7 separate regions of the Mus musculus genome follow, and regions 1, 3, 4, 5, 6 and 7 are each reported to be linked to region 2. Evidence: microRNA targets listed by miRTarBase, many of them from high-throughput screens and not tested one by one. Region 2 holds a microRNA gene; each other region holds the end of a gene's coding sequence.

Region 1 (4,076 bases), not on the chromosome of region 2:
GTAAATGGTAGGTACTGAGGGACTGTCCCTGCCCCCTAGCCAGCAAGGGGGACTTGACTCAAGGCTTCCTTGTTGAGGTGGACAGCAGTCAGCTGGCAATTTCTGAGGTACCTGCTGGAAACACCCCCAATTTGGGCCTGTTCTGGCCTTTGGCTGGGAGCAGGGAGAGATGAAATTGTAGATGCCTATAAGGTATTCTCAGCGGGTAAGCATGGCCTCTCCACTGTGTACCCCTCCCTATAGGCTGGAGACGTCACCCTTGTAATGCTGAGGACCAGGCTAGGCCTTGGGGAGGTTATAATCTGCCATTTGGGTGTGGCTATTGGAAGCTGGAGGGACTAGGCAGGGGAAGGAAGGATGGGCACGCCCATGGGGACTGTCCTGAGTGCCTGCCCTTGTCTCCCTCAGAGCCATGGACCATGGGATTTAGCAAGAGCAATAACAGGAAGTTCTTCTACAATAAGAAAACCCAGAAGTCCGTCTATGCTCTCCCTACAGAATCCATTGCCCCCTTTCAGTAAGTAGCCCTCCGTTGGCTTGGAACCCATCATTGCCATGCAGAAAGAAGCTGCCCCAAGTGTGGACCTGATTCATCCAGATCCTGGGTAGAGAGCTGACTGGCTAGGTGGTGGAGGGGAACCTGCCAGAGAGTTTGGAGGAACATGTTGTAAGAAGCTTGCCCCTTATGACTCAGGGTCTCAGGTATTCCTCCTTAAGACGTGTTGGTCAGATTGCTGCTGGACATGAGCTTCTATCGCAGCCCCAATAGGGCCTCAAATTAGCCATGAGCACTTGTTTCTGTAGCTGGCTAATACTGACCTTAGTGGAACAGGTGAGCTAGGAACACCAATAGTCTAGCTGGATGCAGGTTGTGGCAGCAAAAGTTAGTTCTTAGAGGCATGGGAGGATCTGGGGCCTACTGGGTGGAACCTTTAGATGCCAGAGGGGCATCTCTCAACTTGAGTCATTGACAGAACCCAGTATAAAAGCACCTATCTGGGGACCTGCTAGTGGTTTCTTGGTCCTGCACCACCTAGATACAGCACTCTGATGGGTCCTTCCTCCACCCCTTTATAGTACCTGCTACTACAGCCGGCTCTTCTGGGAGTGGGGAGATGGCTTCCACATGCGTGACTCCCAGAAGCCCCAGGATCCAGACAAGCTGTCCAAGGAGGACGTCCTTTCCTTCATCCAGAGTCACAATCCTCTAGGCCCTTAGGGTTTCCACCTGATGAATGTCCTGTCATTCTTAAGGCAGGGCCCAGTGTCTGGTTTCTTCTGCCTCTTGGAAAGGAACTGGGACTGTTCTCCCTGGTCGTAAGGGAGATGGGCTCCTCCCCATTCCCAAGGAGCTCTTTCGGGGCCTTAGGACACAGCTGTGAAACTCTGCTGTCTGAGAACTGGAGTCAACCTGAAAAGCAGCTGCTCAAGGGCAGGTCAGCGCTTAGGACTTGTCAGAGTCATTCCCTCTGGAATTTGTCGACTCAGTGTTCTGAGTTCCATTTACTGCCCTCGAGAGCAATCAGGCCATTGTTTTGCCCCATTTCTACTAGGCCACCCAAATATGAAGGCCCTCCATCACATGCTGGCCAGGAGCAGCTGTCATACCAATCAAAGTTGTTTCTTGTGGTCTTTTCTTCACCCCAATCCTGGAGTTTGTCCTGGCAGGTCGGGAAGGAGTGTGGACCCAGTACCTTTCAAACATCAGCGCTTTGGGTACTGGGTATAATTGCTCCTTGAGTTTCCACCTCTGGTAAGCACTGGGCAGCTCCAGGGGAAGAGCAGCCTAAAAACCTGCCCTTTGACTTCCTGTCTCAGCAGTAACAGAAAGTTACTCTAGCAGTCCAGGCCACCTGAAGCTCTTGGCAGAGTTCTGAGCTAGCAGTGGCTCTAGCTGCTCCTTCCTCTCCACTAGGAGGTACATAGCGATCTGCTTTGATTTGTCTATAGTCAGTCACTCCATTTCCTGTCTCTGTAAGAGGGAGGAATGGCAACAGCTTTGGGTTGGGGAGGGCATCTGTGGTTGTTTCTAATGGGAAATCTCTTTCAAGAGATGTTCATGCAGGCTCCCTAGGGCCCCATGCCAGTGCCAGACTGGTTTCCATGGAGATAGGGCACTGAGGCACCTGTGAGGTTGGAATTGATTCCACCATGGGAGGTCCCTTCCACCAGCCCCCAACCCCAATCCTAGCAGCAAGTGCTGGGATGCCATATTTGCACCTAATTCTGGGTCTATCAGTGTGTCTTACAGAATCTTGGATCATTAAACATATTTTTACTGCTCATGTGGCTCTGTGCTGGGCTGCTGTTGTCCACAGTGCTGTGTAACTGAGGAAGGGGAGTGTTTGTGGAAGCCAAGCTTCTCCAGCTCCTGAGACTGCCATCTGCTAGACAGGGAGCCCAAAGGCTTATCAAAGTACAGTTCCGGTATAAAGCAGAACTTGGGGGTGAATGAGCTCACCACACAACTCACTGCATGGCATGGCAGCACTGTGGCAGTCCAGGATCAGTCTGTGTGACTAACATAGCAGAGGCTTCAGACCAATTACTGTCACTAGACGAGACAGGAGAAAGGATCTTCTGCTGACTCTGGCTAGCCGCCTCCACAAGAGGCCACATTCTGCATGAGCCCCAGGTGAGAATTCCTTCACCTGAACATCGCACATGTTGGTGAGCTGCCTCCAGCCGATTCTTCATGTTTCACAGCCTGGCTTTACTTGGCAGGCTCCTGAATGGAGCAGTGAGCATTCTTTCTCCCTTAGGGCCCTCTACTGTGAGTGGAGCTAGGGGAGAATCCTAGGGGCTGCTCCTGACTGACCACCTCCTCCTTCTCACCCCCACCCTACTCACTGGCTCTTGTCACCATGTCAGTCTGGTCATTGCCAGACTTGCTGGCCATGGGCACCTGCAGGCCTCCCTGGCCCTGCCTGTCTCTGGAAGAGGAGATGATTCCGCATACCCCTGGAACCTCCACTTCAAGCCCAGGCCACCTTTTCCCGTGCATGCTGCATTTTCTTCAGTGGTAATAATCACAGGCCAGGGCAGGCTGGAGCTGCGGGTGGCAGGCACAGAGCTTGCCCTCCCAGCTGCACATCTCCCTTCCTCCTGAATTGTACATAAGAATTTTGGAACATCCCTTCATCTTTGAAATAAGAGTGCCTCCCTTGCTCACCCTCACCTTGTCAGCAGGAAATAGTTGCCAGACAGCAGAGCCTGGGGCTCTTTATTGCCCCTCTACTAAGCAGAAGGAAGCACTACCACGTCCTTCTAGTGGCTGGAGATGGCTGACTCACATAGTCCAGTAAGCATAGAGCAGGGCGAAGACAGTGAAGATGGCCACCGAGAGGAGCGTGTTCTTCCGGTTCTCATGTCGAAGCAGCTTTAGCTCTTTCTCTGGGAGGAAAAAGATGGAAACGAAACAGAACACTGGGGCTCACCTAGCTGCTTCTGCTTCTCAGAATGGACATTCTGATGAAAAGAGGCGTCTCCTTCCAGGCACTGTCGCATCCCAAAACCCGGCCCTGTCTTTCATCTGCCCAGACCCTCATAATCCTAAGTTAGACTTAGACATAAGGGCAGGCCTGACTTGCTCAACCACTCCTCTGTGAGTACAGTACGGTATGTGTGAGGCTCTACCGTGCTCATCCTTCAGGACAGCTGGGCCTCCTCGGGCTCACACTGCTCCTGAATTCAGCTGCTCCATTGGGTACAGGTTCTACCTTGCAAAGGCTAAACTGATGTCCTGGCCACCACCTCTAGCTGTGCACTGGACTAAGAGGAGAACTGGCAGCCGGCTTTGGGCTGAGTAGAGGTGGGATGGGACACATCTGAAGAGCTCTCTGCAGACCACAGTTCTAGCCTCAGGGCAGAGGGTGCTGGGCTCTGCCTGGCTCTGCTTCCAGCACCCCAGAAGGTGGCAGCATCGCTCCACCCACAGAATGCCTTTCCTGCCCCGAGTAAGGACCATCCTCTACCACACCCAGTCTAGGTTGTTCTGGTGGGGTGGGACATGAGATGCAGAAACCAGTGTCTGTAGATGTGGGCCTTTTTCCTGAACATGGCCCAGATACCCCAAA
Region 2 (4,000 bases):
GGGAGGGACTGCTTGGCACAGAAATCCCTAACCGGCAAGGAAAGACTGCTGTCCTCCAGAGTCAGACAGCAATACCCTCACTCAATAGAGGATGTAGGGTGAAGTTCCCCAAGATGACCGCACGATGCCGCCCTTGAGCTACGCATCCCGTTCCAACCCGCATGCTGGGGACCGTGGCCTAGCAAACCTGCTTTGTTGGGGCCAGAATTGAGAAGTCAGAGAGCATCGGGACCCTGAGCTCCTGTGGTCATGAGTCAGCCTTGTAATGTGGCCTGTCCATGTCGTGCCTTCTCCGCCGATGTCTTCCTGTCTCCAGGTGGTGGCGTTCACCCCCCACACCTGCAGTTCTCCCTTCTGACCTGTGAACTCAGCTCTCCTTCCTGAACTGCCACAGCACACTCCAGCAGCCCCACGTAGGCTCCCTTGCCACCCTTGAACTCGGCGAGACTCACACACCAGCGTACATATCCCCTTAGAATTGCCTCCTGTGGTTCTGCACAGGGAGGTAACCTTCTGGGGGCTTTTGTTTCTCAAGATCTGTGACTTTGTTAGCAATGAGATTGACACCCCATTCTTTGTCCAGGGTTGCCCACCCATCCCGCACCTGGGCGTAAAAAGAGCAGAGAGATCCAGATAAGGAACGGCATAGAACCAGGAAGCACAGAAGTAGGGTGGGGGCACAGGTGAATGAGATGGATGCCCATGTGGCCATACCTGACGTGCCTCACCACAGCTGCAGAGTTGTACCCAACTCCCTTACACTGGCAGGAGCCACCACCGGCAATTGTCATCACCTGTCCTTACCACCTTTGGAAACTGAGGACGCGGGGTCTTTAAATGTTCCTATGTCAGTCCTCTGCTCTTTATTGCAACACGGAGCTTCAGAAAGTTCCCCTGGATTTTACCTCACGCCTTGTGTATGGACTCTCCTCAACGCCTCCTCTAAGGATGACTGACCGCAGATTTCCCCCAAGTCGGCCCCCTTTCTCTAGCGTGTGCAATCCCCCCTCCTCCCTCTAGATGGCGGTGAATCAGAGGTTAGTAATGATATCCGTTCAGTTAACTTGAGCAGTCAAGGATTTTATTTGAAGGACTAGTAGTGACTCACAGGAGAAAGGGGGTCATGGTGACTGACTCAGGCTAAGGGACGGCAGGCAGACACCTCATCCTGCCGCAGAGGCTTACCATCTTCACTCGGCTGCTGGGATCAACTGTGGTGTTCCCAGTCACAGGTCCCTCTGCCCAGGATTCCAATAGCCAGGCCTGTCTTGGATCTCATGTCTACCCAATGCCAGGAAGGAGGGCTAGGCATATTGAGTGACAGCCCTGAGAGGTGTGCCCATGATAGCCAGCAACATCTACCCAAGTGGCCTTCGCTGGCTTTGACTAAAGCCACTCCTACTAAACATTGTCTATCAGGAAAGGTATGAGGTCACTGGGGCACAGAATGTCTTAGGACAGTGGTTCTCAATCTGTGGGCCACGACTCACTTGGGGGTCATATATATCCTGATATCAGATATTTACATTATAATTCATATTGGTAGAAAATTACAATTACAAAGTAGCATCAAAACAATATTATGGCTGGGATCACCACAAGATCAGGAACTGTATTAAAGGGTCACAGCATTAGGAAGATTGCCAACTTAAGGCTTAGGGCTTGATCCATGGTCACCCAGCAATACTAAGGTATGGCAAAGACGCCCTGGATCCACATGGTAGTCTTGAGTTTGGTGTGACTCACCTGGAGCCCTTGGGGGTCTCCCCTGTAGACCAAGCCTCCCGTAGATACTTTTTGGGGTAAGGGCTTCCTGACTACTGTCGAGAGAACAGCAAGCCCAGACCGCAAAAAGATCCAAAGGAGACAGCTGTGGGAAGGTTGCAGGGTGCAGCCCCTCCAGGGCTGGGGCTTGCTTGCGACTGCAGATGGGGTCAGGGAAGCAGAGCTGGGACCTGGAGAGCAGGAGGGTGGGAGAGGGAAGGGGAGAGAGGGGGAGCCTTAGGATAAATTCAGGCAGCCAGGTGACAGGAGCCCCAGTTGCACCCGCTTCTACCCACCCCGTGTCAATCGCATTCTCACCTGGCAGGCTTGTAAGGAACAGAGCGGTTGGTGCTCTGGCATGCGGGGGCAGCTGGAATCTGTCTCCTCCCCTGTCCTGTGAGGAGGATTTTACAGTTTCCTGCTATGACTGGGAGTCAGTCAACCCAGGCATCTCCTATGTCCTGGATTCCACTGCATTAACAACCCCAACTCCTCCTGGGGACTCACCAAGAGCCCCACCCCACCCCCCAAGAGGCTGTCACTGGACAGCTCTGGGCTGAAGGCATGGATTCTGTTCAGCATCAGCAGATACTATGGTATGATGAAGAAAGGTAGAGGCTCCAGGCCAGCCCCATTTGGCCTGCCCCCAACCTCTATGGTCTTAAACAACTACAGTGACCCTTCTTCCTAAGTTCTTCCAGAATACAGGTAGAAGGCTTCCTAGCAGCCCTGCTCCCCAAACCTGGGTCTGTCCCACTCTTCCAGGAGGTCCTGAGGCCCCGGCCACAGAGAGCAGAGAGGTCCCAGCTGGGAGAACATTAAGAGGCTGTAGACTGGATGATTTCTGCTTCTCAGCCACGTGCCAGCTCAGGTCGGTCCTGTCTCTTGCATATCCTGAAGGGGGTCAAGGAAGAGCTGTTTACCTGCTAAGAGCTCATTAGCAGAGGCTGCCTGGAGATACCCGCTGGCCCAGCTCAGCACCTGCACAGGGAAGAGAACAGAACGGTCATAGGATGAGAGAACTTGGCTCCAGGGCAAACTGCAGAGAAGGACCTGAGGACACACAGGCTGTGAGACTTGGAGAGCATCTTTGTAAGAGAGATGTCTACGCTGCCTCCCTGTTGGGGGCCTGCATTCACTCTCAGGAGGAAAAGGCGGGGAATCTTCTCCCACCCTGCCCAGCAGGTGGGCTTCCCCTTCTGGACATTCACTTTGGGAGAGTGCTCCAAAGTGGAGGGGGTTCCAGAGCCACAGGCATCTCACTGTGGGCTTGCTAGCTTGCACAGGCTGGAGCACAGCTGCAGAAGACCCCTGGCTCCCGTTGCTTCCAGCTTTGTATGGTCCATCAGAGCACAGTACCTGGGGAAATCTCTGGATCCTGACTCCCTTACCTGGCTGCAGCTTGTGCCAAAAGAAACAAGATGGAGGAGACAGGGATCGAGAAGGGATGCACATTCTCCCGATGGCTTTGCTCTGAGTCATACGGGCTTGGAATTAAGGCCACCAGGCAGGCTGGGAAGGTCTCCCATGGGAAGCTGAGTGTGGCAGCCCCTACCTCTCTCACATGAACCTTGCCCCTGAGGACACTCTCTCTTTGGCACTGACCACACCCTTTCCCACACCCGTCCAAGGCTTCTGCAGATTCTTTATTTCACATGGTCATCTGCCCAGTGTTTGCTACAAGCCTGCATAGCACTGCAGGCTTCCCCTGTGGAGTTGTCCTTGCTCCTACGCAAGGAAATGAAAAACCCAGCTCAAGGGAAAAATCTCTCAGGGTCCTGCCAGAGCTCCTGCCTCATTCACTAGCACATTGCTGGCTCTTCAGAACCTCCATCAGTGGGTCTCAGCCTGTAGGTCACTACTCCACTTTCTTTTTTTGGGGGGGGGGGGAATCACATACCAGATAATTCTGAGTACCAGATATTGATTTACATTACAATTCATAACAGTAGCAAGATTACAGTTATGAAGTAGCAATGAGATAATTGTGGCTGGGAGTCACCACAACATGAGGAGCTGACTATATTAAAGGGTCTCAGCTTCAGGAAGGTTGGGAACCTCTGTTCTAGCCGTTTCTCACCACTTCTTCAAAGCATAACCTCTAACCTCCTCACAAGGTCTGTTTCCACAAGGTAGCCAGTGCAACCCTTTAACGACGAAGGTCAAAGCGAGGAAGGCAGCTGGAAGGAGGGCTTTTTTAATATGCATGAGGTGCTGGGATTTGACCCTCTGCACC
Region 3 (4,076 bases), not on the chromosome of region 2:
CCCGCCTCTAATCCTTCTGTGATGGGACTAAAGGTGTGCTTCTTTAAACACAGCAGATCACAAACACGTGGCCCTCTGGGAACTCAGCCCTATCCTCTCTCTCTTTCTCTGGCCCCAGGTGATCGGAACACAGAGAAGGAAGAAGGCAACGAGATGGTGCACGAGGTGGACGTGGTCATTAAGCACAACAAGTTTCAGAGGGACACCTACGACTATGATATCGCCGTGCTGAGGCTGAAGACTCCCATCACGTTCCGGATGAACGTGGCCCCTGCCTGCCTGCCTCAGAAAGACTGGGCCGAGTCCACACTGATGACACAGAAGACGGGCATCGTGAGCGGGTTTGGACGCACGCATGAGAAGGGCCGCCAGTCGAACATCCTGAAGATGCTGGAGGTACCCTACGTGGATCGCAACACCTGCAAGCTCTCCACCAGCTTCAGCATCACACAGAATATGTTCTGTGCGGGCTATGAGGCCAAGTTAGAGGATGCCTGCCAGGGGGACAGTGGTGGCCCCCATGTCACACGGTTCAAAAATACCTACTATGTGACCGGCATTGTCAGCTGGGGAGAGGGGTGTGCAAGGAAAGGGAAATATGGCATCTACACAAAGGTCACGACCTTCCTCAAGTGGATTGACAGGTCCATGAAAGCCAGGGTGGGACCCACAGCCGAGACCCCAAGGACAGCAGGTCCGCCCAATTAAAGCAGTCCTTCTCCAGTCCTGCTGGGTCACATCTGGTGTTGTTTAATGTTGCCACCTTAAACAGGAATGTTCTTGGGGCAGCTGCCCCACCTGTGGTGGGGTCTTTTCCCTCAGTCTTATTTCCCTTGACTTCATGGTATACGAAACGGGCTGCAGCCGGGCAGTGGTGGCACACACCTTTAATCTCAGCACTCAGGAGGCAGAGACAGGCAGATTTCTGAATTTGAGGCCAGACTGGTCTACAGAGTGAGTTCCAGGACAGCCAGGGCTACACAGAGAAACCCTGTCTCAAAAAATGAATGAACGAACAAACGAACGAACAAACAAATGAACGAAAGAAAGAAAGAAAGAAAGAAAGAAAGAAAGAAAGAAAGGAAGGAAGGAAGGAAGGAAGGAAGGAAGAAAGAAAGAAAGAAAGAAGCTGCAAGTGAGCAAAGGTCTCTCTTCCTGAACCAGACTAGAAGACACTCAGGGAGTCGCTGGCTCTAGGGGGTTCGGTGTCTGCTCACACTTGGATGGAGCCCATAGACATAGCATATGGTTCTGATTTTCAGTATGTGTGTGTGCGCGCGTGCACACACACACACACATACACACAGACACAGGGACTTCAGCCCCTGTTTTAGGTTGAGAGGCCTAGACTCTGCTACTCCTTAGCCTGGCCAGAGAACCCTCACTGTCCTCTGGGAACTAGGCAACATGGAATTACTGGTTCCGTGACATCCACTGAAAGTAAAGACTCCTGGGAAGAGAGGCTAAGGTCTTTGTCTAAATAAAGGAACCTTTTACCCGGATCCAAGCCACGCACAATCCTGTGCTGGGCTGCCTGTAAGTGTGTAGCAGTCTTCCCACACCATGCTGTCTGCTGAGTGTGCATAGACGTTGTGCTGAGCTGACTGTTGGAGTGAATGCTGAGTGTGCATGCTATCTCCCTGGACTGGGCTGTGTGGTAAGAGCACACAAGAATCTTCCGAGATGGGCTGCCTGGTGTATGCATGGAATTCCCCTGAGCTAACCAGGGTGTTGAATGTACACAGGCCCTTCTTCCTGAACACAATATCAAATCACAATATCAACTCACCAGTTGCTAATAGAGATCCTACCCCCACCAGTATGTGGGTCTTAGCCCCAGCTTTGATTAGGAGCTCAGCAGTCTTTGCAAAACCTAAGTCCTGGCCTTATCCCAGACATCCAATCCTAAGTCCCGAGAGTGAGCCTAACCCTATATAACACTATCATGCCATCCCAGCAGGTGTTCGTTGAGTGGCATGATGTGGCCGGACAGGGTTCAGGGCATGTCTCTCCCCTCTAGTCTTCTATTGCTTCCAAGCCCCAAATTAAATGTGGAAACCAAGCCTACATTCAGTAAATAGAGTAACTTTTTCCCAAAAGTACCTATAGCTTGAACTTTACATAACTTTCCTAAGCAAAGTGTAAAGGTTCCAGTACAAAACTTCCCCCAAATCAAGAGCTGGACAGAGTCCTTTGTAAACAGATTTTGCAACATTTGGAAAAGTCAAACAAAAACAACACTTGATTTCCTAGAACCATAATGGCTGAGAGTGAGGCCAGGGTCTGAGAGCAGAGCTGACCTCAGCAGCTGCAGCGGGGACAGTGATGTGGACCCTGGAGAACACCTGCTCTGTAGCGTGGTCCCCTGGCCCTGCCTGCAGGTCAGCAGTGGGAGGATCACAGTTTCACCTGCCTCTGGGGATGGACTTTGTCCTTAAGAACAAGAACTCCCTGGGCTCCAACAACCCCAGGACAAGGTCAGCATCCACACAGGTCCCTGAATCAATAGAAAGACAAGCCCGATACTCTGTGTGGGTGTGGGGTCAGCCCACGGGGGAAACTGAGGAGACACTAAAATGTGAGTTTTCAGGCTACAGGGATGGCTCAGCGGTGAAGAGCACTGACTGTTCTGCCGGAGGCCCTGGGTTCCCAGCACCCACATGGCAGCGCACAGCTGTCTTTAACACCAGCTCCAGGGAACCCAACTACTCAGACGCACATGCAGGACAATCACTAATTCACATATAATTAAAAAAAAATAAATACATTATTTTTGAAGACGTAATTTTCAAAGTCAATTTACTCAAGAACACTTTCATGTTATACATATTTTACCACAATAAACATTAAGATAAAAAATATCACCAATAATTTCAAAACAAGCAGAAAATCCATCACCCAGATACTGAGTGTCAGGGCTGGGAAAGTTAATCCTGGATTTAGTGAGGTATCTCCCCTTGTGGCTCTGGCAGTCGGGACCCAGGAGCTCTGTGGTGCTGGCAATGTGGGCACAGGCTCTGGTGACCAGGCTCCTCAGTGTGCTGCTGATGGGGACCCAGGCTCCCCGGGTGTGTTAGCAATGAAGAGTGCAGATTGCCAGGGCAGATGGTGATGGCTTCTAAACTGAAACAGAAAAGAGCAGTCCTCACTTGGCTCTGCTCCTAAGAATACTTTGGATTCCAGAAATAAGACCTAGTGTAGTGGCAGGGAGGGGTTGAACCCCCCCCCAAATAAAACCAGACAGGAGCCCATCTGATACAACTCACAGCAGGGTCTTTATTCTATTCAAGCTAGCTTGGACTGCCCCAGTGCACTGTCGTAATGCAGGATGGTTTGGGTGGTGGGGGAACCCTGAATATCTATCGGGGCAAGGCTTTATGGTAAGGAGCAAGCAGGGATGGGGTGAGTGTGCAAGCATCTAACTGGGAAGTTACTATGGACTTTAACATAATTGGCTGCTGCTGGGAGTCCTATCATAAACTTAACTTCTGCTTCCCTCTGCATTGGTGGTTGTTAGGCAGGGGGTGGGCTTGTAACCTGGGGGTGCAGGGTTGTTGGGGGAATAACCTGGAGACACTGATCTTGTTGAGGGTGTGACCTGGAAATGCTGGTCTTGTTGGGGATTAGCCTAGAGACTGGAGCTAGGCTCCGGTTTTGTGGAGGGGCAACTTGGGAACTAATGCTAGGTACCTGACTGTTAGTTTACCTGAGTTCAGCTTAGGTCAGGCTCTCTAAAATCGAGTCTGAACTTAAAAGATTTGGCCTCTTACTAGCAAATGGCAGACGGAGAAAAGACTGCTCCTAGAGGGTAGCTTCCACAGAGGCCACACCCCTCTCGGGGCTGAGGAACAAGAGCCTCAGATGTCTTCAGGGGTTTTATATCCTGGATGGTTTGGGGAAGCTGATTCTAGAGTGGACATGCTGCCTATCAGTCCTCGGATCAGCCCATGCCCAGAGAGTGGGCGAGCAGGAGGTCAGAGGAAGAGCAGGCCCAGCACTCCTCCTCAGCTCTGGGGATTTGCTCCCCTTGCCTGGGCCTTAATTTCATCCAAAGAATTTACTTAAAGTGGTCCTAG
Region 4 (4,076 bases), not on the chromosome of region 2:
AGGTCAGTATCCCTATCTGAGCTGCTCTACACCAGGAAGGTTTCACTGCCAGATACTGAAATGTTTGCACACTCTACTAGTTGAGCATCCCTGACCTACAAATCCGAAATCCTCCAAATTCAAGAAACTTTGGAGTCCTTCAGATTTCCACATTAGTGATATTCCCACCTGTGCTTTACCCAAAGAGAAAAAGATCCAGGACCATCCTCTCACAAGAAATATAGTAGCTGTTTGTTTCTTCATTCCTCACTAGTCACAAAAAAAAAAAAACAAAACAAAAACAAAACAGGTTTTTCTTGTTGTTTTTCCTTTTCTGTGCTGAGAGCAAGAATTTGGAATGAGAAAGCCTGGGTTTAAGCCTAAGTGTCTTTACTCTGTGGATCTGTGGGGCTGAGCAGATAACATTGTCTGAGCATTTGTTTGACTTAGTTTCTCAGTCTGTAGAGTAGACACCATAAATTCTTCCTTCTGCCTTCCTCCATGTGGCTGTGAAGATTGGGCTATGTGACCACTTGTGACAATCTGGAATGCCAGGGTTGTCGCTTACCACGGGCTCTGAGATAGCAAAGGAAAAACTGTGTGTGTGAGCAGACCAAAACTAAGTGCCATCCCAGATGAGAATGCAGCTGCAGTGATCTGTCTAAAATTAAAAATGTTCTTGAGGTGACAGAAACAGCAGGGGTGCCCGGTTGTAAATGTTTATGCTTTGAACTGTCCTCACAATAGTCACATGACTAAGCACACTTAAAGTTGAGGCACAGGGTTAGTTGTCAAAGTGCATTGAGTTTAAATATGGATTTAAACCCAGGCCTATATCCCCAATCCCTTTACCCGTCCCAGCCATTGACAATGTACTGTACATCTGTAAGAATTTCCAGAAGACTTTCCAAACTGTCTCTGTAATTGTTTTCATACAGTAGTTGTGAAGAGTAATTTTAAGAAACTTCTAAGAATGGATTTTTCCATTTCTGCTAAGTCTGCTTGACCAGTATGTACAAGGTGGAACTCGTGTGTGTCACTAGGCAGCCCACGGTGGTTTTACCATGGGAGGTGAGAACTAACTGAAATGACTGCTGGTTTGCTGTACTTCTGTAATCAGACTTTACAAGCCATGACATTAATTGCACTCTGTTTTTGTCAAAGCCCTGTGCTGTTTAAAGAGAGACTGTAAAGGCGCTGTCACGGTGCGGAGTTGAGTAACCACTCCACTGTTTAACCTGCATAACTTTTTGTCATTGTCTTAAAGCCAAGCTGTGTTTGCATATATGAAAGTAATTGTTTCTTAGAAACATGTGACAATTTTCAAAGTAGTGTATAATGACACTGTTTAGTACATTTTATATTTTTTGTTACATCCCACTTTTTGTAAATATTCTCAAAACTTGATAATAAAATGTATTTCTCTATCACCATACTTTCCTATGTGAAAACCTTAGACCATCTCTAGTATAAGGATCTCAAGAGAGTTGTATTTGGTTATAATATTTTCCCCGGGCCTGAGTAACAGGAGTTTTTTTGTAAATATAGCCAATGCTACATGAGCACATATATATTTATATATCCTCTGTGAAAGACAACCCTTTAAAGTCATTTCAGGTGTATACTGCATTTGAGATAATTATCTAGAGGGTTCATTTATTGGAATACAATACAAAGAATAATGATAATTAAATATTTGAGCGACTATCCTAGGTATTACTAAAAGACTTAGAAAAATCAAAGGTCTCATGAAAAATCAAATTTCTAGAATTTGAGACTAGAAAGCACTACTAGACTCTTCCCTCTTAATTATAAAAAGTGAAACCAATTCTGTATGTGGGAGGAGCCAACTGTCAGTATTTACTTCTTTCAAATGTTCTAGCCTGGTCCTTGTGGGGGGGAGAGGGACATGAAACGGTGGCTTTAGAGATAGAAAAGAAGAACAGAGCGATGAGGAATGGTCTAAGGCTGGGAGCATAAGCCTGGGGAATGGGCTCAGAAGATAAAGTCCCTGCTGCATAAACAGAAGAGCTCCGGCTGGAGAGATGGCTCAGCGGTTAAGAGCACTGACTGCTCTTCCGAAGGTTCAATTCCCAGCAACCACATGGTGGCTCACAACCATCCATAACGAGATCTGGTGCCCTCTTCCGGAGTGTCTGAAGACAGCTACAGTGTACTTACATATAATAAATAAATCTTAAAAACAAAGACAGAAACAAAAAACAAACCAGAAGAGCTTCAGATTGGCTCCCCAGCGCCCATGGGGTTACATGCCTGTAACCCAGTGTGACATTGCTACAGAAGGGGCAGGGATGCAATCTTTGGTCAAATTAAGGAACTTTGAGTTCAGAGATGCTGTCTCAAAAACAAAGTTGGACAGCAATGGAGAAAAAAAAAATACCCGCTATAAACCTTCACGTGTAAATGCAATGCCCTAAATTTAGTCACAGGGTACGTATAAAAACTGTAGGTGCTGTGGCTGAAGTGTGCATACAGCATAGCACACCAATTAAATATGGCGTCATTCCTTCTTTTCTTACAGACCAAGACACAGAATGTTAATGCCATTCTCAGCTAAGCAGAAGCAGCAACAGAGAAATAAGTGATGGGGGCTGGAGAGATGGCTCAGTGGTTAACAGCACCGACTGCTCTTCCAGAGGTCCTGAGTTCAAATCCCATGGCTAATCCCATGTCCACCTAAGCCCCTCATAGGACTTGCTGCTGCTAACCACGTCCCCAGATGCCCATTCACCGCATTAATAGGAAAGTTCTACAGACAACTTAATTCACAGCTAAAATTGTGTATTTATCTGAGAATGAGCTCAGCTTAGGAAGTTGCTCCTCCTGGAGAGTTAACATTACTCTTAATTTTTATTTCAGTAAAAGTCAGATTTGGTACAGGTTTTTCTAACTATGACTTTTATTTCTTACGTCTTTAATATTTGTGTTACCACTCTTTACGTTCATCCATAGAGGCATTGGAATCCTTCCGAATCCTGCTTCCAGAGTGGAGAGCTGCCGACTCCTTCCCAGTTACTCCTCCTTCACTTGTGCACAGAACAGGAAACTAAGTCTATACTGACGTACTCAGTTAATTCTTTCCTTTAGCAAAAACAGGATCTTAACTCTAGAAACGCACATCTGACTTCTTCCATTTACTAACCCTAAGAGAGCCTTCTACCAGAATACACTGACTGCTTTTGCCCTTTAAAAATACCCAGATCTGTTGACTTGAAATAGCCATTTACCTTATCTCCAGTTTCTAACAAACCAATCAGTGCTCATATGTGTTTTTAAAAATCAAATAGAAATACAGTAAGTTGATAAGGAGACAATTTCACAATAAATCACTTTACTGGGTTGAAAACAATTATACCAAGAGTTAGTTATAACCTTTGACATTCTACCATTTTGATTGTATTTATATAAACAGGCTATTTTTTGTTTGTTTTTGGTTTTTTTGGTTTTTTTGTTTGTTTTTTCGAGACAGGGTTTCTCTGTATAGCCCTGGCTGTCCTGGAACTCACTCTGTAGACCAGGCTGGCCTCGAACTCAGAAATCCGCCTGCCTCTGCCTCCCGAGTGCTAGGATTAAAGGCATGCGCCACCACTGCCCAGCATAAACAGGCTATTTTTATTGACTGAAAAGAGATACTAGTTTGAAAACTTATGTTACTTCAATATGCAAAGTGAATTTTGTTTATTTTGATTTTTAAGGCCCACTGAGGAATAAAAGTTCAAGCTGAAGTATCACTGCCAAACAAGTTCATCAAACCCAGCTACAGAGGAGGAGGGGGTTTTTGACTGGCAGGCATTCCTTTCTTGACTCCCCCCATGAAGTCTCTGATGAGGTAGCAAGGCAAAGAAGTGAAATCTTTCTCCCATCTTCTGAGGATTCATTAACATATCATACCCTCCAAGTAGCTGCTGCTTCGCAGATGGCTCACCTGCTTTATCCAAGAGAACCTGAGCGGAAAGAAAGGCCTTTAAGGAACATCACCAGAAGAAAAGCATTCCCCAGCACAGGACTAATGATGTAAATGATGCAGTACAGCAATTCCCCAGATGGGATCACAGTGTCCTCTAACTGTAGGATGC
Region 5 (4,076 bases), not on the chromosome of region 2:
TCTGCTTCTGCTACCACCCAGCCCTGTCTATGCCCACTCCCTCCCTGCCCCACACTTCCCTGGGCCCCATGTGTACCCCAGCTTCTCCCCCTTCCTTTGGGAGCCCACTCCCTGCTGTCCTGTCCTTTGATCTTGCATCTACCTACAGCTCTCTGAGTCTCTGTTCAGGTGCTGCTGATAGACTTGTGCAGAGCCTGGGGGAGCGGCTAGGGGGGCTTCAGAAGGAGGTGAACCCTGGGAGGACTCGGACTCGGGACAAGGGTCCCCAGAGTCCCTCCAGAGCTTGTGCTCTGCTGTGTTCCAGATGTACAACCAGGAGAAGCTGGTGCTGGAGGAGCTGAGCCGCTACACGGGAGCTAGGCTCCAACCCCTGAGCAGGGGCCTCTACTGATGCCACAGAGCTTTGAGACAGAGAACTTGTTGGACAGAGTCCCGTCCCTCTGCAAGACTCCAGGGAGCCTCTGCTTACCAGGGAGCCCCTGAGTGGACCACGTGGAGCCGGAATAGATGCAAAAAGCAAGAGGAATTTTTGTTCCAGTGCACTGGGGTCTTCCCAGACCCGAAGGAGAGGCGGCGACCCCCAGCACCCATTCAGGGAGTTTTTATATGGTTTCCAGGGGCAGAAGAGAGCATCAGCAACTAGGCACAACGTGATTGGCGGAGCAGTGCACCCTTTAAACTGATTGGTCTTTAGGGAATGAAGTGACAAGGACGTCCCTTGTCTGAAGGTGTCCTGCAGGATGTGTCCCCACCCACAGGGCAGTTCTGCCCTAAGGTCTGAGAAATGTTAATTAGCCTCTTCCTTCTGGAGGGGCAAGTGTTTCATGACCTTCCCAAACTTCCTAAGCTGGCCTTTTTACCTCCACAGTGGATCTCTGCTGGTCCTGTTGCCCTGGAGGGCCTCAGCCCACACTACAGCTTCACTCTGTGAGTGGACCAAGTACCAAGGAAGTGCCTGTCAGCCCTTACTCTGATTAGAAATCTATGCGGACTCTGTTGTAAGCAGAATCAGGCGTTCTAAGAGAAGAAACATGGACGCTCTTGTGCTTCTTTGGGTTTCTAGCTGTAGAGTCTGGGCAGATTGCCTTGTCTCCCTGAAGTGGGAGGAACGTGCCAGAACACTGAAGCCTGTTCTCCTAGGAGGAGGCGCCTGCAGACCAGCAAGCCCAAAAGGACACCTTGTGCCCTCGCCTTTCTTAAGCTGTTGGCTGCAGACACCACGGGACAGCCCACAGACCTTGTCTCCTGGGGCCAGAGAGTCAGGAGTGTCCCCCATCTGTGTTGCTGTTTGTAATTGTTTTAGATGACCTTTATTTTATTTGGAGCAGGGCAGTGGTGGCACACGCCTTTAGTCCCAGCACTTGGGAGGCAGAGGCAGGCGGATTTCTGAGTTCGAGGCCAGCCTGGTCTACAAAGTGAGTTCCAGGACAGCCAGGGCTACACAGAGAAACCCTGTCTCGAAAAACCAAAAAAAAAAAGGATTTTATTTGGTGTGTGTCATGTGTGGGTACACATTTCCCACTGCGGGGGGTGGGGTGGTCAGCTGGGGGGAGATGTCTCTCTCGTTTATTATTTTGTCCCCAGAGATGGAACTCTGGTTGTCAGCCTTGCCATCCCACTGACATCCTGCAGGCCACCGTAGTCCTGCCACTGGGGCTCCCCTATTGGCTGTTAGAGGCATGGTAGTTCTGCTCAAGGCCTGGAACATGGAATTCTGGTGACCTGAAGTCTAGTTCAAAGCAACATGCAAATGTCTGTGCAAATCTGGATCACGAGAGTCTTCCCAGCAGGTAGCCAGGGACCTTGAACCTAGATAGGGTTTCCTGACCCCTCTGCTGGGTGTACCCGCATATACACCTATGCCAGCCTGTTCCCTTCTTCTCGGCCATCTAACTGGTTCCTCGCCTTTGAGCATCCTTAAGGAATGACTGCTTCTGTGCCCTTCATTTTTCTATTTCCCTTTTTCTCTGCTTGGTATTTCTGGTTTAATTTGGTGGGGTTTTTGGTTTTTTTGGTTTTTTGGGGGGTTTTTTTGTTTTTTTTTTTTGTTTTTGTTTTTGGTTTGGTTTGACCTTGCAGCTCTGGGCATGGAATCCAGGATCTTGTCAGGCTTGGCAAGGCTCTGCCACATTCCCAGCCTGTTGCTCAGCTGCCCTAAATCTGTGGGTTGGTCAGCAGCTGTCTCTGAGTCCAGCCACATTGTTATGATGACTCCAAGCCTGAGGGGGCACTATCTGCCCTGTTCCAGGAGGCACAGCATCCTCACTTGGGGCTTCCTCACTTTGTGTTTATTCCAGATTTCATTTCGTCCCTCACTTCCCTGAAGGGCCTGTGATGTTTTTTAATTTTTAAAAAAGATTTACTTGGGTATGGGGGACTTTTGGTATAGCATTGGAAATGTAAATGAGCTAAATACCTAATAAAAAAAAGATTTACTTATTTTATGTATATGAGTACACTGTAGATGGTTGTGAGCCATCGTGTGATTGCTGGGAATTGAACTTAGGATTTCTGCTCGTTCCGGCCCTGCTCGCTCCAGCCCAAAGATTTATTAATTATATGTAAGTACACTGTAGCTGTCTTCAGATAAACCAGAAGAGGGCGTCAGATCTCATTACAGATGGTTGTGAGCCACTGCGTGGTTTCTGGGATTTGAACTCGACCTTCAGAAGAGCAGTCAGTGCTCTTAACCGCTGAGCCATCTCTCCAGCTGGGGCCTGTGATCTTGATGAGAGTTTCATGGACTCTGTGGATTGGCCGCTCACACACTTGAGCCATCTTTAAAATCTCTGGGGCGTACTGTGCATCTTCTCAGAGTAAAGTTGTGCACAGTGGTGCAGTCCCTGTCACCACTGTTAAGGGGCATGGCCAGGAGAAGCTTTTCCCTGAGTCACTGGGGACCCCCTAAGCCCACTACAGGGCCTGCTCAGACTCTTTAGTCTCCCACAGGTGGTCCTCAGACAGCAGGCTTGAAAGGGACGGGGAAGACTGTGTGTGAGGGTGGGTCCATGTACACTCCCATAGCTTCCAGAGGCTGATGGTGCTCCCAGAGCCAGGATGCTCCCAGGCTACTTCCTCCTTGTTAGCCCAGCATTGCCAGGCCATCTGAGACAAAACATCTGCCAAATATCTTCCTTCTATCAGATCAATAATCATATGAGAGGAAAATCGTGTTAGAAACATCATCTAGGAAGGAAATTATGTGAGCTCTTTAACTGGTGCTTTTAACAAAACCAAGTTTCTCTGGAACCACACCCCAAGGCGCACTGAAAGACAGGTCTGTCTTTATGGATTCTTCTCTACCTGATGGGCTGGGGTGGAGATGGAGGAGAGAGAGCAACCATCCAACCCTCCCGGAGTGAACAGTGCTTTGTAAACAGCGTGTGTAAATACCCATACTTACACAGCCTGCAGTGCCCACGTGCATGCATGTGGACCTCACATGTACCTGGGCCTTGTTATGATTATAAAATGTTATAAGTATGAGTATCTTGCCTGTGTGTATTTATGTGTGCACTCCTGATGCCCTTGGAGGTCAGAAGAGGACATTGACTATCCTGGAACTGGAGTCACAGAGAGTTGTGGATTGCCATGTGGTGCTATTGAAAGAAAATAAAACTTGAGTCCTGTGATTCATGTAATAGCCCAAAGAGTTGTTTGTGAGCTTTGAAGCCTGGGACTGAGAACATAGCAGAACAGGCCAGGACATGCCTGGGCAGGCCCATCATTAAGACATTCCTGAGGCTGCTTGGCCATAAAGATAAAGAGAATGCAAAGACATGTCCAGACTGGCCTGGCGCCTCCCTATCTCCCACCCTTCTGACATGGGTTAAATGTTAACCAGATGCTCTGCTGTTACCTCCATCTGCACATACACTCTGCTGATGTTTAAATGAACCAATCGTGTGAAACCGCGCCAATTCCTCCCCCAGCCCCAGACCCTTTTCTATAAAAACCCCTAGCTTTCAAGCCTAGTGGTCGACAACCGCAATCTCCTGTGTGAGATACATGTCGGCCCGGAGCTCCGTCATTAAACTACCTCATGTGTTTGCATCAAGACAGTCTCTCGTGATTCC
Region 6 (4,076 bases), not on the chromosome of region 2:
CTGATGATTCCCCGATAGAACTCAGCAAGGTACAGAGCGTGAAAGCTGTGGCTAAGAAACGCCGGGACCGCTCTCTGCCTCGGGCGTTTGAAATCTTCACAGATAGTAAGACCTATGTTTTCAAAGCCAAGGATGAGAAGAACGCAGAGGAATGGCTGCAGTGCATCAACGTGGCGCTGGCCCAGGCAAAGGAGAGGGAAAGCCGAGAAGTAACCACATATCTGTAGCGATTCGCACACCCGCTCTTATGGCCATGCAAGATAAGCATTGCCAGTGTCAACAAAGAGGAACCCACCATGGCGCTATTGGGTTTCACTAAATACCAGGGAAACCATTATCCCTAAGGAGAGCCTAAAATGGCAGGGTTCTCAGTAAACCTCACGCCCTCGCAACTCTGGTATTAACTCCAAGTTTTCTGCCTGAAGTTCATGAGAAAGAGAGGCCACGGAGTTCACAGTGGATCGTGTGGGCCAGAAAGGGAACGCTGCGAATAAAAGAACTTCTGTAGCTATGTGATTTATGACTGTAAGAAAACAGTGAGTGGGGCCAGCAGGAAGGCTCAGCAGGTAAAGGGCACTTGCTGCCAAGCCAGATTGCCTGAGTTCTAGCCCCATAACTGACTTGGTGGAAGGAGAACTAACTCTTGGCGGTTTTCCTCTGTTTTCTGCATGCCATGGCACATCTATTTCCCCAGTTTAAAAAAGAAAAAGAAATTAATTAATTAATTAATTAAATTTTAAAACAACAGAGGCCTGAAAGATCCATCTTGAAGGAAAACTGTCACATTAAAGACATTTTTTAATATTTTTATTAGGTATTTTCCTCATTTACATTTCCAATGCTATCCCAAAAGTCCCCCATACCCTCCCCCCACTCCCCTACCCACCCACTCCCACTTTTTGGCCCTGGCATTCCCCTGTACTGGGGCATATACAGTTTGCATGACCAATGGGCCTCTCTTTCCAGTGATGGCCGACTAGGCCATCTTTTGATACATATGCAGCTAGAGACAAGAGCTTAAAAACCATTAGGAGCCAGGCAGTGGTGGCGCATGCCTTTAATCCCAGCACTTGGGAGACAGAGGCAGGTAGATTTCTAAATTCGAGGCCAGCCTGGTCTACAGAGTGAGTTCCAGAACAGCCAGGGCTATACAGAGAAACACTGTCTCAACCCCCATCCTTCAAAAAAAAAAAAAATTAGGAAAAGTTGAACTAAGGTACATTCAAGAAAACCATTAACTTCAGTATATTAGTTAGCTTTCTGTTCCGTGGCAAAATACCCTGATGAAAATAGCGTACAGGCGAAAGGATTTATTTTGTTTATGGTTCCAGAGGGATGGAGTCCATTGTGTCAGGGAATACATGGCACCAGGCAGAAAAAGCACAGCAGCAAGAACAAGATGCTGGCTGATTCTTATTTAGACCGAGGAAGCAGTGAAGGTGGGAAGTAGGGTGTGGTAATAAACCACAAGGCCCACCTCCATCGATGTACTTCCTCTACCAAGGCTCCGCCCCCCCAGGGGCTCCGTAACTTCCTGAAGCAGTCCTACAATGGGGCCACGCATTCAAATATGTGAGCATATGGAGGCATTAAAATTGTTCAATTATTTAAATTACCACACTTAAACATTTATCTTCTCAACACAGAAGATGGCAGCACATGTTACAATGACTCTTATTCCAGTTACATAATTAAATTTAGGCTCTTATTAGAGTGTAAATTGGATTTTAATGTTTAGACACGTGGTTCTATCTACTGTCTGAGGCAGTAAAAAAGAATAAGAATAGAAAGACACCTTTTCTTCTTTGTAAATATATGCATCACCTCCCTTAAAATTGAAGATTTTTTTAATTAAAATTCTGTGGTTTTCTTCTCTGTGTTAAGCGTTGTAGTGCCCAAATTATAAGCATTTATTGGTTTTTCCTATTACCCTTATATAATTTTGAATTAAGCTGCCATAGGCAGTTTAGGTGACATCCAGTGACCTGTGCCCCGTAATAATGTTCTGCCCCTTGAGTGGTGGAGGGTGGGACCTGAAGCGTGCTTCTAACTTACATAATATGGCAAAGGTGACAGAATTGTCTCTCCTACAATTGTGTTACATTACAACGGAAATTTTAAAATTAACAGATGAATTAAGGTCTCTCAGATGTCTTAAGTAAACTGATACATCCTGAATAGCCAGGTTATCAGCTAAGTTATTTACGTCAGCCTCTCCTAGTGAACTTGAATAAGCTGCCACGGAACTATCGCTGCAAGGCAAGGAGTGAGCCTGTGCCAACATCCACGTGACCCTGAACAACAGTGAGCCTCTCGGGATCCAGCCCACCATCACCTTGTTCGGAGCTATGAGGTCCTCTGCTCAGAGGGCCGGGATAAGATGGAGTCCTGCCCCCACAGAAACTATGCAGTAACAATGTATCCTGCTTTAAATGCAAACCATGTGGTGATTTGTTATGCACTGATTAATTCATATAAAACCCCGCTGGTAATATATCAAAGATAACTTTTTTCTGTAAAATTTATTTATTATGTATTTTAGCAGAGAAGCCCAGAAAAGTTGTCACCGCGCTGACACTACAGTTAACTCACTGGCATAGGAAATGTAAAAGGGGTCATACTTGAGCAAAGAAACTTAATTCAATTTTAACATGTAAAGTTTGAGGATATTATGAGCCACAGAAATTATTACACGCTGGAAATAGAGTTCAAGAGGTCAAATTTTGGGTCCACTGCATATGTAGGTAATTGTGAAAGAAATGGAATTGGCTGAATTACATAAGAAATGGAGAATTGAAAATGACCCCTTGGGATAACAATATTTAGACAAAGGCAGGTTAGATTAGCTGATCAGTATTCAGAGATGATGTAGCCCAGGAGACATGATATTACAAAAGCTAAATTAAGAAGGATTTTCAGGATGTCAGCAATTTGAAGTCCTGAAGATAGAACTTGACTTTCATAATTAGGAAGCAATTGATGTCACTAGTAAGAACAATTTCATTGGAACAATGCAGTAAAAGTTAACTTTCGATGTGCTGTAGTAATCGACTGCTGGATTTTAATTTTTTAAAAGGTGGGGTTAAGGTGAAAGAGCAGAATAGATGAATGGTTTCTTATTTTGTTTTTAGGTGACGTCACCATAAGAAAGAAGACAGTTTAATAAATATAGACAAGGAAAGACAAGGTCAAGTTTGCTAAGTGTGATAGAGAATAATTTTCAAGTTCTGTATCCAGGGGCCGGAGAAATGTTTCAATCATGAGAGAGCTTGCCTACACACATCAGCCCCTGATGTCAAATCAGCAACACATACATGAAAATCGCAGCATGGCTTTGGGGGCCTGTAACTCTCCCTGCACTGGGAGTTGGAGGCAAGTACATCCCAAGAGCTCCTTGGCCATCAGTCCAACTGAAGTCATGAACTTCTGACCAAGTGAGAAACTCCATATGGTAGTTTGGACAAGAAGGGCCCCCATAGGCTTACCTATTTGACCACTTGATCTCCAGTTGGTGGAACTATTCGGGAAAGATCCGAAGGCGTGGTCTTGTTGGAGAAGGTGTGTCACTGGTGGGTGGGCTTTGAGGGTTCAAAAGCCCATAGCGTTTCAAGTTAGCCACCCTACCACCTGCCTCTGCCACATGGTTATGCCTCATGATGCATGCTCTCAACTACAGCTCCAGGACCATGCCTGCCTACTGCCATGCTCTCTGCCATGATGGAAATATATTTATCCTCTGAAACTGTAAACCTCCAATAAACTCTTTCTTCTATAGCTGCCTTGGTTTTGGTATTCATTCACAGCAATAGAGAAGTAACGAAGACCCACCCGGTCTTGAGTCAAAAAGGCAGAGAGCCACAGAGGAAGAAACCTGATGTTTGCTTTAACCTCCACAGGCATAAGTAAGTACACACATACTCATATGCAATCACCATATACACAAATCACACACAGTCTCAGAAACATACACACACACATGCATGCAATCTGTATGAGCAGCAATTTACTGAGAACCTGCTAAGCAAACAGGGACCATACCTGGCCTGGAGACTCCAAAATAAAAAGACAACCTCTTT
Region 7 (4,076 bases), not on the chromosome of region 2:
ATGGCCTTCCCTGACCTTGTGTTCTCTTGCAGTGAATATAGCCTACTTCTTAGTCTTCATCAGACAATACAAGGCTCCCTCTCATTGTACCAAAGGGGTCATCCTAGCCATTCACTAAGCTTTCATCTCCTGTCTGCAATCTCCTGGCTCTGGCTCATATTTCCCTGTCTACAGGCTTCACTGTCATATGTACAGCATCTGAGCATGAATTGTCTTGCTCCTGAGAAAATGTCACTGTTAAAATATGAGGGGGCATGACAAGTGCAGGCAATTTTCAGTTATTAACATAAGCAGGAGGCAGGCCAGGCATTCCCAGAAGGAGCAAGGGGAAACATTTTTAGCTGGCGAAGACTCCAGTCTTAAGACTAGCTAAAGTTAACTTTGCTCGGATCCAGTCTTCAATTGTGGAGCTCCTGTAGGAACTGGCAAAGGCGAATGGGGGAGAGGGACTGTGTGGTCAGACATTTAGAAGAGATGTGAGGAGACTATGTACACCTTACCACAGACTCATTAGTAACCAAGGACAAACCATACAGCCTTCTTATAACTGTCTTTGAAAAGCAGACTCTGACCTTGTGAAGCCAGTGTCATTTGTGACTGACAAGGGACAGCTGGATCACATCTCTTTCTCATTTCTTTGTAGTGAGGAAGAGGAGGCTCGCAGACCTGACGGGGCCTATTATCCCCAAGTGCCGCAGCGGTGTCTAGCATGCGAAGGGAAGCCCACGCCTAGGAACTGGACGTGTTCTACCGATGATGCGTGTGCCCCAGTGGAGCCCAGGACGAATGCTGGCGTGGAGCTCTTGTGGCTCAGTTCTTTGTGCACTGAGGTTTAGGTTAACTAGACTGTAGTCGGACCTTTTATAAAACATGGCTAATGTGAAGTTTTTCTTTAGGCACAGAAGTTCAGTCTGGTAATTATTTAAACATGCAGAAGCCCTCAAGCTAGCGGGCCTTGCTGCAGACAGTGTGACACTGGCAGAGACGGCCCAGGAGCCCCCTGGCGGCCCTGCTTTGGGGCCTAGGTGCACTTACAACATGGGACGCACCAGCACAGAGCACTCTTCCCACCTAGTTTGGAAGCGTGGTGAAACAATCTTTTATTTCCAATTTGATCGTAGCAACTCAGTAAAAAGAACACATAATCATGATCTGTCAACCCCCACTTGAAACTTTGACATCAAGATTAAAGCTGCCAAATTGATTCCAGGATCAAACCCCCACCCCTAAGAATGAAAGACAAGCCACAGAATTTTCTAAGAGTCAGAAAGACACAGGATTCCTTTTGCCAGGTAAGATAAAGAGGGAGAAAAAGGCAATGGTGAATTTTCAAGTTTCAAAACCCACCACACCAGGCAACAGACATCCTTCTGAGTGCTGTGGGAACACCTGCGGGGTACTCATCTGCAGTCAGAAATCATTTCTTCTTTATTGAATTCCAACTTCATGATGGATGAAAACTTACAGCCGCTGGGCAGTGGTGGCACACGCCTTTAATCCCAGCACTTGGGAGGCAGAGGCAGGCGGATTTCTGAGTTCGAGGCCAGCCTGGTCTACAGAGTGAGTTCCAGGACAGCCAGGGCTATACAGAGAAACCCTGTCTCGAAAAACCAAAAAAAAAAAAAAAAGGAAAAAAAAAGAAAACTTACAGCCACATAAAAACATCTTCCTATACCACAGTGGGCAATGGCTTATGTGAGATCAACACCATTGGGTGAATTTCCAGTCCACCATGCCTGTGGTATTTAGCATGGCCCTGCTTACAGACACCAAGTGCCTGCCTGGTCATTTATGAGACAAATCAAATCACACAGAGCTCTTGCCTACAAACAAAGCCTCTAGAGGACAGCAGAGTACAGCATCTTAATGGTAAGGAATTAGGAGATCCTGGCCAAACAACACACGGGATTACTCTGAAACCTAATCTTGGTGTTCCTACTGGATTTCCTTTTTTAACACCATGGGAGCCAGTAAAAATGTTCAAATACACTGTTCTTGTGCCTTTTAATAGACCACAGTGCCAGTTAAACTAGTATTTTTGTTGTTTTGGGGAGTTATTTTCCTTAGGGATTCAGCCAATATTATAGTAATGATAAGGCTCAAAAGCTGTTGAGCATAGCCAGGGGGCTTCTGACTTAAGAGAAAGCCTGCACACCGAACTGTAACAGTATGGACAGTACAGGGTAACTAGAGGTGGCATCGGGGCCTCAGCACTGAGTGTCCACTGAGGCTGCACACGGGCCCAGGAGTGGCACCAAGCTGCAGGGACAGCCAGCCCCACTCAGCTTCTCCTTGAAACACAACTGCAGCTGCATTCTGCATCACTGGAAACTGCAAAATAATATTAAAGCCATTTGGTCTATGTGTGGCTCTGTGTGCTTCTTAAGAATCGTGGGATAAGAATATGTGCCCAAAGGCCAGGAGGCTAGGCAGCTACCATGCTGAGTGAGCTCACCGACCAAGTGTCTGTGTGGCAGATGCTGACCTAAGCCTGCTGCTCGTCTAGATCCCTGAGAACACTTGCAAGCTGAGAGAGGGATGCTGGGTAATGCAAAGCTGCTAGAGGAACATCTTTAAAGAAACCACATCAACAAAAGCATGGGCCACCTCTTTCAGAGGACCTCTGTGAAGGGACAGAATATACTTTAGATTCTGAAGCCGCATGGTCTCTGGCCAACTACTCAGTAGTGCCATGATCACATATAGAAAAATGGGTTTGCAAATTTAGTAAATGCTTCAAGGCACAAGGTGATCAGAGCCACAGAGCCTCAGGCAGTTAGGGAAGAGCTGGCCTGGTTTAAGAGTCTACACCCAGGGCCCAACTTTTATAATTTTGCTGTCAGGGTAAAAAGGTTTGCTGAAGAGCAATGCCTACCACCCTGCAGCATGGCAGAGAAGCCGCCAAGCTCAAGATAATCCCTCAACATCGTTGGGATTCCTCAGGGTTTGCCTTTGTTCCAGGCTGTAGCATCCTCTGGATCAAATGGCAAATCAGGCAGCTGACACTGACTCCCTGTCCCTTGTCCCTGTGGCCATCTGCTGTGCTGGCAGTGACCAACATGGATGCTCTCCATTTGTCTCTATACCGTCTCAAGCTGCACATGGCAACTTAAGTCTGCATGTGTCAGTGAATGCGGAACACCAGGCCCAGGTCCAGGCTCACAGGGACTGAACTCATGACTGTGCCTGCTGTTCCTGTGGGATTCGTGGCCTCCGGGCAGTACACTCACATTCTTCTTTAAAACTGTCCTGGGAGGGGCCTGAAGCCTGCTTGCCCCCTTTGTCTTGACACGTGACACAACAGGCTGTGAATCCTTGTCCTTGACAGGCAGAACAGGTCAACACAAGCTGGCGGCATTGGGGAGTAGAGCAGAGTTTGTATTGGTCCCATGGGGCTCCGCAGTATGAACATTCTAGAGAAGAAAGGATTTTATTATTCTCTCTCTCCCTTGCCTGTACACACACACACACACACCACGAAGACAGAGACAGAGAGAGGGGGGGCAGGCGGGGGGTTATAGGGGGAAGGCATAGATAAATTCCAATTCCTAAAATAACTCTTAGTTCACTAGAATCTAATATATTCTTTTGGTCCAAGGGAATGTTTCCAAGTCAGGAAGAGTAGTATTCACTATGACCTAAACACTTGCTAGGCTGAGACAGGAAGATTGTAAATTCAAGGATAGCCTGGGCTATGTGTACAGTGAGACCCTGTCTCAAACAGATAGATTAAAAGAAAAACACTATTCCTGTCGTCTAAGAATGAAGAAGGCCTTTGCGGGGCGAGGGGTGTGGTGTGGAGAGGCTGCTTCTGGGAACTGTGTTCTGATTCCTCTTCCTCCACCCATGGCTCTTCTTCCATTGAGAAAGGGCTTCTGAAACCAGCGTATCACCCCCTAGTCTCTCCCCAGATAACCTCCCTTCCCAGGGAAGAGAACATACCAAAAGACAGTTGACCCCACATTACAACCAACTTGTAGAATGCACAATGCCCCACCCCAGGCCACCATCGAAGGCCATTGCCAGGACACCTGACCACCCAACTCCTCCTGGCCAATGCTGGTCACCTTTGAGAA

The links. The annotated mature microRNA mmu-miR-129-1-3p reads AAGCCCUUACCCCAAAAAGUAU and lies in region 2 at 1,791-1,812, opposite strand. An mRNA with a match to its seed (bases 2 to 7 or 8) in the 3' UTR can be bound and repressed. Matches are read on the target gene's strand: a 7mer-m8 pairs with bases 2 to 8, a 7mer-A1 pairs with bases 2 to 7 and ends in A, and an 8mer does both.
Region 1: miRTarBase lists Ccdc167 as a target of mmu-miR-129-1-3p. The part of its 3' UTR that is shown has no 7-base or 8-base seed match.
Region 3: the mRNA of F10 is a reported target of mmu-miR-129-1-3p. Seed matches in the 3' UTR shown: 7mer-A1 at 973-979.
Region 4: miRTarBase lists Ndufaf7 as a target of mmu-miR-129-1-3p. Seed matches in the 3' UTR shown: 7mer-A1 at 3,482-3,488.
Region 5: miRTarBase lists Ybey as a target of mmu-miR-129-1-3p. Seed matches in the 3' UTR shown: 7mer-A1 at 1,434-1,440.
Region 6: the mRNA of Veph1 is a reported target of mmu-miR-129-1-3p. Seed matches in the 3' UTR shown: 7mer-A1 at 1,143-1,149.
Region 7: the mRNA of Tmod1 is a reported target of mmu-miR-129-1-3p. Seed matches in the 3' UTR shown: 7mer-A1 at 1,579-1,585.

The regions. Positions count from the first base shown.
Region 1 is chr17:29,701,077-29,705,152 of GRCm38, forward strand. Ccdc167 (coiled-coil domain containing 167) reads right to left here. Exons shown (of 4, transcript NM_026782.2): 4 at 2,256-3,393. The coding sequence ends at 3,290. It overlaps Cmtr1 (cap methyltransferase 1), which reads left to right. Exons shown (of 24, transcript NM_028791.6): 22 at 1-7; 23 at 409-517; 24 at 1,078-4,076. The coding sequence ends at 1,219. It overlaps Gm28043 (predicted gene, 28043), which reads left to right. Exons shown (of 28, transcript NR_132314.1): 26 at 1-7; 27 at 409-517; 28 at 1,078-4,076. Among named protein-coding and RNA genes, the nearest start is that of Ccdc167, 14 kb to the right of the region's middle.
Region 2 is chr6:29,020,479-29,024,478 of GRCm38, reverse strand. Mir129-1 (microRNA 129-1) reads right to left here and starts at 1,860; the gene lies at 1,788-1,860.
Region 3 is chr8:13,055,175-13,059,250 of GRCm38, forward strand. It overlaps F10 (coagulation factor X), which reads left to right. Exons shown (of 9, transcript NM_007972.4): 9 at 119-1,502. The coding sequence ends at 708. Among named protein-coding and RNA genes, the nearest start is that of Proz, 3.7 kb to the right of the region's middle.
Region 4 is chr17:78,946,743-78,950,818 of GRCm38, reverse strand. It overlaps Ndufaf7 (NADH:ubiquinone oxidoreductase complex assembly factor 7), which reads right to left. Exons shown (of 10, transcript NM_028611.3): 10 at 2,767-3,944. The coding sequence ends at 3,729. It overlaps Prkd3 (protein kinase D3), which reads left to right. Exons shown (of 19, transcript NM_001171004.1): 19 at 1-1,414. Among named protein-coding and RNA genes, the nearest start is that of Ndufaf7, 12 kb to the right of the region's middle.
Region 5 is chr10:76,459,548-76,463,623 of GRCm38, reverse strand. Ybey (ybeY metallopeptidase) reads left to right here. Exons shown (of 5, transcript NM_172550.4): 5 at 305-4,057. The coding sequence ends at 391. It overlaps 2610028H24Rik (RIKEN cDNA 2610028H24 gene), which reads right to left. Exons shown (of 8, transcript NM_029816.2): 8 at 2,406-3,137. Among named protein-coding and RNA genes, the nearest start is that of Mcm3ap, 7.3 kb to the left of the region's middle.
Region 6 is chr3:66,053,256-66,057,331 of GRCm38, reverse strand. It overlaps Veph1 (ventricular zone expressed PH domain-containing 1), which reads left to right. Exons shown (of 14, transcript NM_145820.3): 14 at 1-3,774. The coding sequence ends at 227. Among named protein-coding and RNA genes, the nearest start is that of Ccnl1, 97 kb to the right of the region's middle.
Region 7 is chr4:46,113,671-46,117,746 of GRCm38, forward strand. It overlaps Tmod1 (tropomodulin 1), which reads left to right. Exons shown (of 10, transcript NM_021883.2): 10 at 644-2,362. The coding sequence ends at 708. It overlaps Tstd2 (thiosulfate sulfurtransferase (rhodanese)-like domain containing 2), which reads right to left. Exons shown (of 10, transcript NM_173033.3): 10 at 1,076-3,413. The coding sequence ends at 3,175. Among named protein-coding and RNA genes, the nearest start is that of Tstd2, 23 kb to the right of the region's middle.